Linked DNA regions of Arabidopsis thaliana. The protein of the gene in region 1 interacts with the protein of each later gene in a pairwise test. Each region holds a gene or a part of one and is shown in the gene's direction. Other genes may lie near its edges. The genes, in order: ABCI10 and ABA2.

Evidence for each region.
Region 2: the proteins of ABCI10 (region 1) and ABA2 interact in binary tests that used the Arabidopsis thaliana proteins (3 or more experiments, as listed by UniProt).

What each region holds. Positions count from the first base shown.
Region 1 is NC_003075.7:16,097,450-16,102,197, reverse strand, and holds ABCI10 (ABC transporter family protein), read left to right. Parts: upstream 1-1,757; 5' UTR 1,758-2,084; coding exon 2,085-2,348; intron 2,349-2,653; coding exon 2,654-2,740; intron 2,741-3,079; coding exon 3,080-3,208; intron 3,209-3,294; coding exon 3,295-3,417; intron 3,418-3,660; coding exon 3,661-3,873; 3' UTR 3,874-4,128; downstream 4,129-4,748. Other genes in the region: AT4G33467 (uncharacterized protein), read left to right, coding at 114-272, 358-507; SCRL22 (SCR-like 22), read right to left, coding at 376-584, 978-1,190, 1,368-1,440.
Region 2 is NC_003070.9:19,489,025-19,493,572, reverse strand, and holds ABA2 (NAD(P)-binding Rossmann-fold superfamily protein), read left to right. Parts: upstream 1-1,922; 5' UTR 1,923-2,045; coding exon 2,046-2,095; intron 2,096-2,768; coding exon 2,769-3,576; 3' UTR 3,577-3,779; downstream 3,780-4,548. Other genes in the region: AT1G52342 (uncharacterized protein), read left to right, coding at 870-1,133; AT1G52330 (Late embryogenesis abundant (LEA) hydroxyproline-rich glycoprotein family), read right to left, coding at 3,928-4,548. UniProt on the Arabidopsis thaliana protein: Involved in the biosynthesis of abscisic acid. Catalyzes the conversion of xanthoxin to abscisic aldehyde.

The sequences.
Region 1 (4,748 bases):
TACATTCAATAAAATCCACTCTTTCTTCTTATATATAGAATCAATCAAAAGACTTTGAGAGATATTCATCAAAACTTTTTGTTTTGTTTTTCAAGCTATAAAATCTGAGAGATATGGAAGTAAGCAAGAGAATGGACATGTTAGAGAGGAGGTCTTCGATAGAGACAGAGCCAATGACATTGCATCTCGATCAATTAGAAAATGCTCGAGAAGAAGCATTGTATGTGATGAAAACAAAAACAATGGAGGAAGCTATGGATATTTTTACAAAGGTACGTATTTACAGTAATTTTAGTTTTTGGAGTTCCTTCAAATTTTCTTTTTTTCTTCGTAACGTTAATTAATTAACAAAATTAGCAGGAGACGCATGAGGGGTTACGAGCTAGTGAAGAAAGAGGAGGGAGATGCATAAATCTGAAGGATGAGGAGGATGATGATGATTATGAAGACGAAAGAATGATGTTTATGAGTCCTCATGCTTGGGACATTCATACCGCTCCTTTCTAATTTAGTAATTTGTAACCTCTTTTTTTTGGCTCTTTGATTTTCAGTTTTCCTATACTCCTTGGTCTTTTTGTAAATATCTGAATACTTAAAAAGGATATTAGATGTTTTTACATACATTAAAGAAGGAAAAACCATTGTGAAGCACAATCTAACCGGTTTTAGAACATATCAATCTTAAGAACATATATCCGAAGGCGTGACTAAATAGTAAATTCATAATCTACGTCAAAAAATTTCTTTCATGGTATCTAAGTCTTGAATACATGTTCTTTCAACCTGAACCTAAATCAATCCGACCCAAAAAAAAAAACTCGATAGTGAAACATGTTAATTAAATAAAATTGTTATTGCCTTTCGTTGTGATTGAAAAATTGGGATCTTAACACCATAGTTTTCTTATTATTAATTAATAAATAATATGTTAGTATTGATGGCTGAAATTTCTAAAAAGTTATAAGATTAGGAATTACATTCATAAGGATTAGCTCTTTGACAAGTGCAGTCATGTTCGTCCTTGGGTGATTTGGGTTCCGGTTTTAAGTTTTTACATGTGCACTGAAGAAAACGTTGTTGATACTTTGATTCCATTTCTTTGAAGCATTTCTTCTTTCCGTGAATGCCGCATTTAGCAGGGAAAGTGACGAGATTCCAACAGTCTTGGGGAGGTGCTCCAGCTTCTACCTCTAATTTGTCATCAACCAAAACAAATTGTTAGTTTATAGATATAAGAAAATTAGTAATACCATATAGTTTTTAATTGCGTCGACATGTTCTAGAGCTGCTTTTCTTCTTTGTTTGCAACAATTCTTTTGGTGATTGCAAATTGCAAACAGTCAATAAAAAAGAGTTTAATATAATACCTTGAACATGGCTTAGAATTAAACAGATGGAAACACAAGAAACCATAAACAAAGTAGTACACCACATCCCCATGCTTCAAAAACTGATGATATATATTCTCTATTACTTGGAAAAATTTAACCAAATTTTGTCTGACTCTCGTGATAAATATATTCGCTTATTTAGTTGGAACCACACAACCAAATAATTGTTCCGATAAATTTGAGAGGAAAAACATAAGATGGAGCCAAGTCAACAAGATCGGCAGAATAGGCTTCCAATTTTTTTAAATTCTTACTAAAATTCAATATTTCACTGCTATTTTTCCTTTTTTATTTATTTATTTTGTTATATAAATAATTTTGATGGTTAATTTTTTGTGAGTCAAATCCCAATTATTAAATTTCGAAAGCAAATTCATGATTACATGTGATTTCGAAATTTAAACGCTCAGCTTCAAATTATACCGTAACGTCGGCACTAGAAAACCGAAATAAAATTCGAAATAAACCTCAAACCGTATCAAACCGAACCGGATGATATCGATTTGAAAACCGGACTGGCTTGGATTGAACAAGCGAAGCAACGAGAGAAAGTATCTACGGTTTCTCTGTTGCTTGTATTTTTTGTGTGTCGATTCGACGAAGCTTATTTTTATGGTTTTGCGAGGAAGAAGAAGAAGAAGGAAGCTGCAATTTCAAGTCTTTAAAGAGAATTCTTGAAAATCCTTAAGAGAAATGAATGGTCACTGTTTATTTGCAGCATCTCCTCCTCGTCTCTTCCCTCTTCGCTCTATATCATCGAGTGTTTCTCCATCCGGTAGTTACAGAATCAAATTCTCCGATAATGTCGCCGTTGAGTGTCGGAATCTCTGTTTCTCCGTTAGTACAAGACAAGGTATATCTGTTCCTATTCTCCGTGATTGCTCCTTTCGGATTCCTTCTGGACAATTGTGGATGATTCTTGGTCCTAATGGCTGTGGCAAATCCACCCTTTTGAAGGTCTTTCTCTTTTCTCTTAAACATTGCATTTGCAGAGCAAAGACTTAAGCTTTTGTTAATGAAGTATCATTATTCTTACTTAAGTCATCCTTCAATCTGGTGTAGACTAGGTTTGCTAGTTGCTACTTTGGGCAGAATCTTAGATCATCACACTGTTTAGTGCAATAGCTAATCTTGGCATTTATAACATGAAACTCAAAGAGCATTCAAATCTTTGGATGCTGTTTGTATGTGTAACTAAGACTGATTACAAAGAAATGCCAGTTAAACTGTTTGATCTACATTAACTGCTTGGAACTCTGCAGATTTTAGCTGGTGTAGTGAATCCATCCAGTGGCACTGTCTTTGTGGAGAAGCCGAAGAATTTTGTATTTCAGAATCCTGATCATCAGGTTAAGTTTCTTGCTTTTGCAATGTGAATCATGTGTTTGATTTTATCTTGAAGGATCTTACTTTTTTCCCATCTTTGTTTTCTTTATTGTGAAGTGTTCTTTCTGATTTGTATTGCTGTTTTATAGTTGAGTAGGCTTGTGTGGTTGAGCGTCTTTTTCCATATCACAGACAGCCTTAATCCAAATCTTTAATTATCCTCGAAAAGCTAGATATGCTAATGACATCGAGAAGAGTCATTTTGTTGTCACATCTGAGGGAGATCAGTTAGTAACAGTTGGATTTTGATTCAAGTAAAACCGCTCATTCTGGTCACATCTGAACGTTCTTGTTCATCGCAGGTAGTGATGCCTACAGTGGAAGCTGATGTGGCATTTGGTCTTGGCAAGTATCATGACATGAATCAGGAAGAAGTTAAGTCTAGGGTGATTAAAGCTTTGGAGGCTGTTGGTATGCGTGATTATATGCAGGTCAGTTTATGTACATTGAACAACAATAAGTTGTTTATATCTTCTAGTTCCTTTTACTAAAGTATAGATTTTGGTGTTGTTTCCAGAGACCGATTCAAACTCTCAGTGGTGGTCAGAAACAAAGAATTGCCATTGCTGGTGCTTTAGCTGAAGCGTGCAAAGTGCTATTGTTGGATGAGCTCACAACTTTCCTAGATGAGTCTGACCAGGTAAGGTTTGATTAATTCTAACAACGTGCTAATGAAACACAACTAGTATTGCAAGGGAACCCTTCCATAACTGGAATATTTCAACATCGACATATGATTGTGTTATAGTAGACATTGGAAGTGAGTAACTTGCACAATTGATATAGTATCTAGAAGAAATGAAATGAATTTGACAGATATGTTATGACGTATACGCCTTTTTTAATCAGTGCATATTGTTTTCTCGGGGTTTTTGTTCTGCAGATGGGTGTGATCAAAGCTGTAAAAGATCTGATAAATGCAAAGAAAGGAGATGTGACGGCATTATGGGTGACACATAGGTTAGAGGAGCTCAAGTATGCGGATGGAGCTGTGTATATGGAGAACGGTAGAGTGGTCAGACATGGTGATGCAGCCACCATCTCAGATTTCATTAAAGCCAAACAATCGTCTTACATTGATCAAATTGGTTCTTAACTTCCTTTGCTAAGGATTTTTTTCTTTATTACCTCTATATATATATAGAGGTAATGAAAAGTCGATTATTTGCTAATAATTTGTGAAAAATTGTGATAATATAGCTCTGCAGAGGGTAATGTAGTTAGGAGGGCTCGAACTAGAGTTGAATACGAGTAAACCTCTGTTTTCCCAAAGGGAAAATAAAGAATGTTTGGAGAAAACTCCAGGTTGTAAGTACGTCCCCAAGTATTGATTAGTATAATTAAATTATAGAAAACAAGAAAAAGTTACGAGAGAAAGTTTTGTGCATGTGTGACTATGTATATGAATAATATACATAAAAAAAGTCTAAATTATGTGTTGTGTGCCCCCTATTTTGACTAATACCATTTACTTCGTCAAAGTGATATACCAAAACCAAACTTGTCTTTAATCATGCTAGAATTTCACCACGGGCATCGCTAGTAACCTGTATTACCAAGATGTAATAAATCTTGAGAAAACAAAACAGATTCTAGAACAAAAGGCAGAGTGGATTCGTCACCGAAGCTGAGAAAGGTTACTTCACTTTTATGTGAATATCACAAGGCTTGAGGCCTTACTTAGATGAGTCGACCTACATAAATAAAGAAGATACATTGTGATAATTTTTACCAAAAAAAAGAGACATTTTGATAACTATATTGTAACAGAAATCTATTTGTTTTCTTATAATAACAAAAATTCACATCTTTGTCTCATATTCTCTCTAGGTCCGAGATCATGTTATACTATATAATTCTTATGATTGATGGTTAACACATTAGATTTATACTCAAATTCTGGTATATATCATTCAAACAATACCACCTAACATGTTAAATTAATCGCATAATTCTGTGTTAACAGAAATA
Region 2 (4,548 bases), on another chromosome or scaffold:
TCAAATCTTACAAATTTTGGTGTTTTATGAAAAATCATTTTGTAACGAAGAAATCTTGAACTTTTAATTCATAATCTCTCTGGATTTAGGATCAACCATTAGTAGGAGATGTTACGTAAAACAGTCTTTTGCACATTCTTGGTTTGATAAATAACATATTTAAACTAATAACGTTTCAAATGATTCAATCGCGATATTTTTCTAACTATAAGATAGTTTTAGTTGTTGTGAATTTCTGATTGATATATGACCTCAAAAGTAGTAAGTTTATCTAAAGAAGATGAGTGACAATGGGAAGCCCAAAGAGAAAGGAAGTGATGTCGTAATCGGCCCACTCCCACCGCTTATCCTCTCCAATCACTTCATTTTCTCTTTACCATATAAAATCTCCAAACCAATTTGTTTCATCCAAAGAGTTATGGTCCACCATCCACATCTTTCGCAAGAAAAAACTTGCTTTAATAATATTCTTTTCTTTCTTTAGCTAATTAAAATCCATAACAATATTTCTCTCGTCATCAAATTATTTCCTTAAAAATTTATAAGATCGGATATACACTAGAACAAATTTCTGACCTCATGGTTTCTTTCTGAACACAAATCTCTAGACGTGCATCAAAACCATTAGCCACGTGTGACGTTTCGAAACTTTGTTTGGCGACATCTCTTCTACGAAACACCTAAAAGATAAATATGTAACTAAAATAATTTAATTTCCAAAAGAGTGACTAACATCTTTTTCTTTTTTATTTTTGTTATCAAGAGTGACGAGTATTTATACTCGACTTTTCTTTTGGTAAACCACACACACAAAATCTTAAATAAGAAGAATCTTTTAAATTTTTGTGTTGAGTGTGAAACAAAAAAATATGTGTTACAAAATTCTTCTACCTCTTGTTATTCCTCCGGAGAGCTTCCACGAAAATACTCCGGTGGCAGAAGTGACGGTGGCAACAGATGTGGAAGCCACCGCTGGTCACCGTAGCGGTGGTGACGGTGGCGGTGGAAAGAAGAAGTGTGTGTGTTCACCGTCGAAGCATCCAAGATCGTTCAAGTGTAGGTATCATCAACATGAATATCAATGGCTTCCTTCTTCTTCTTCTTCTTCTTCTTCTTCATCCCTCCACAAATAACACATATCATCAATTCATCATGTAAACAATAATTATATTTTTATTATTCATGGTTATTTTGATTCGTTAAGTATTTCAATCAAAGTAGAAATTGTGTTGTGGTTCTTGTTTTTCTTAAAATGCTTATTCGTCAGAATCTTTATATAACGATGTTGTTTCATCTCAAAGTACTAAATATCGGCAGCAATAATCTTTTTAAAGGAATACGTGGTTACTGTGATTTCTGTATAACTTATTAGCTTTTTCGCTTAAAAACGGTTCATAAAAAAATGATGTTACGTGTCGTGACTAATTAATCAACCGTATGAGACTATACTTCTTCACAATTATTTACGCATTTTCATATGGTTTTGGAGTTTCAATTTTCGAGATACAACTTTCACTAGAGAAATATCGGAAAACATAAATTACATTTGTGAAAATTCGTAGAAACACATGTGCGAAGATCAATCATGACCCATGAATGAATGTAATCGATCTCACGGATGATCTACAGAAAGTGAAACCACAAATAACCCAACACTATACTGTAATTCTGTATCATGGACGGTTTGATACGGTTTGGATTTCGGTTCGATTACGAATCATAATTGTATCCTTAATTTTCTAAATCGGATCGGTTTGGTTTGGTGCAAATTGGATCGGTCTAACTTAACGTCTCTAAAATCCGCAAAATGTGCTTATAGTCAAATCCGTTAGTCTTTTATTGGGCTTACAATTTAAGGCCCATAAAAACCCAATGACGAAGCAGGACTTGCTTTTTGATAGCCGTATAGAGACCGACACCAAATAGCCGAGAAACAACGCAAACTCCGATTGAGAGGTGTTTGCATGATTCCTGAGCTTGTCTGTGTCAATAGTGAGGCACTACATCGAGGAATAAGAAAGAAGATCTAAGGAGCTAAAGCTATTATGTCAACGAACACTGAATCTTCTTCTTATTCTTCTCTTCCTAGTCAAAGGTATAAGCTTTCTCCAACTTTTTCCTCTGATCCAACTCTTTTTGTTTGATCTTCGTTTACTTTACCTTTTTTTCCTTCTTGGGTCATTCTAAATACTGAAATTTTGTTCTTTGAGGGTCAAATTAACAGTTGATAATCAGACCATGGAGTTTTTTCAGTTTCATGAGTGTCTTTGCTCTGCTCACGACAGATTTGAGATCTAGTCATGGTTCTGTTTGATTTATTGATGTCAAATCTTGAAATGTTTATGATCTCTAGGTTTCAGTCTCTTTGCTTTTTATTATGATCTTCAAACATTTGGATTAGTTTTATCAGTTCTGATTCAATAAACTAGTGATATACATTTGGCTTTTGTTTACAAATCTCTCAACTTCAGATTTGTTATTTTGTGTCCCATTTGATTCATCTTTACCTCCTTTGCACGTTCTGTTTCAAAACTGGATTTGTGGTCCTTTCTTTTCACCATTGTAGTTTTGTGGCCCAGATCTTTTTTTTTTTATTTTGTGGCCCAGATCAATTTATGAATAAAGTTCTTTTTTTTTCTGTTGCATTTTCTTTCACTGGTCTTAAGTTTGATGTAACATCTCAACCTTATTATTAGGAGACTATGGTGCGATTGGTTTAATCCAATTTAATTACTTGCTTTTAATCTCTTGTGTTCTTGATGTGACAGGCTTTTGGGTAAAGTGGCATTGATCACTGGAGGAGCCACAGGGATAGGTGAGAGCATTGTTCGTCTGTTCCACAAGCACGGTGCCAAAGTCTGCATTGTTGATCTGCAAGATGATCTCGGAGGTGAGGTGTGTAAAAGTCTGCTTCGTGGTGAGTCCAAGGAGACGGCTTTTTTCATCCATGGCGATGTTAGAGTGGAAGATGACATTAGCAATGCGGTTGACTTTGCAGTCAAAAATTTTGGGACGCTTGATATACTTATCAACAATGCAGGATTATGTGGAGCACCGTGCCCTGATATTCGTAATTATAGTTTGAGTGAGTTCGAGATGACCTTTGATGTGAATGTGAAAGGAGCTTTTCTAAGCATGAAACATGCAGCTCGTGTAATGATACCGGAGAAGAAAGGGTCGATAGTTTCCTTATGTAGTGTGGGAGGTGTTGTGGGAGGCGTTGGTCCACATTCTTATGTTGGTTCCAAGCATGCTGTTCTAGGCTTGACTAGGAGTGTTGCAGCGGAGCTTGGACAGCACGGGATACGTGTGAACTGTGTTTCGCCTTACGCGGTTGCAACTAAACTCGCTTTGGCTCATTTGCCGGAGGAAGAAAGAACGGAGGATGCATTTGTTGGTTTCAGGAATTTTGCTGCTGCAAACGCGAATCTAAAAGGGGTGGAACTGACGGTTGATGATGTAGCGAACGCTGTTCTGTTTTTGGCTAGCGATGACTCGCGGTACATAAGCGGAGATAATTTGATGATTGATGGAGGATTCACTTGCACTAACCACTCCTTTAAAGTCTTCAGATGATGCATTTTGCTAAAGAATGTTGTTTAATGTTTATTGTCCGCCAATTTATCATGTCTATCAAATAATTTAACTGTGGAGCTTATTGTGGTTTTAATTGTTACTTTTAGCATTGTAGAAATGTTTGATGTTAACTACATTTCTTACTGGTAGACATTGAACAAAATCAGATTCTCATAATGATTAAAAAGATTGAGTAGCAAAAATATCATAATGATGTATTGATGTTTCTTGAATTAGAGAGGACTACAACTTTGACGAGAAATTGTCTGATTAACAGTATCTACTAGAATCCCACATGCCACTTTTGCCTGTTCATCAAGATAATTATAAAACAAAATTCCATTAATCTGATTAGAAACTGCATACATTTTCTATGATTATATAATCTAGAAAGTCAAATTCAAATGATGAGAAAGTATAAAGTTTGATAAACCAAATAATTGAGTAAAAACTCAAGTTCCTTACCTTTAAAGGGAAACGGAAGAACAAAACGCCAAGTTTCCCGTTAGTCTCCGTAACGGTGTCAAATTCAACGGAGCCTTTAGCTAAATCGTGAATCAAATGAATGACGTCAGGAAACACCATGACGCCGTCAAGCTCAGCCTCCGCGTCAAGGTAAGAAGAACCAAAAGCCGTCACGTGCCCGCCATCAGAACTCACGTGACCTAACGTCTTCCCTCTATAGTCAATCGTGACGTCAAGATCCGTGAAGTCAAAAGAGTACACGTCAGCATTTGATACCTTAAGCGTAACGAGCAACGTCATGTCTATAGACGGCACCGGACGGCGGTGAACGTGCACGTGGGAAATTTTGACCCGTATGATCTTGATGCGTGGATCGGACGGCCAGAAGATGTAGATGAGGATCGAGGCAAAAGATATGAGAAATATAGAGATGATGAAACGGCGTCGTGAGGGAGGAGAAGGATGTGATGAGATCAGAACGGCGTCGTTTAGCTCGTGACTTGATGA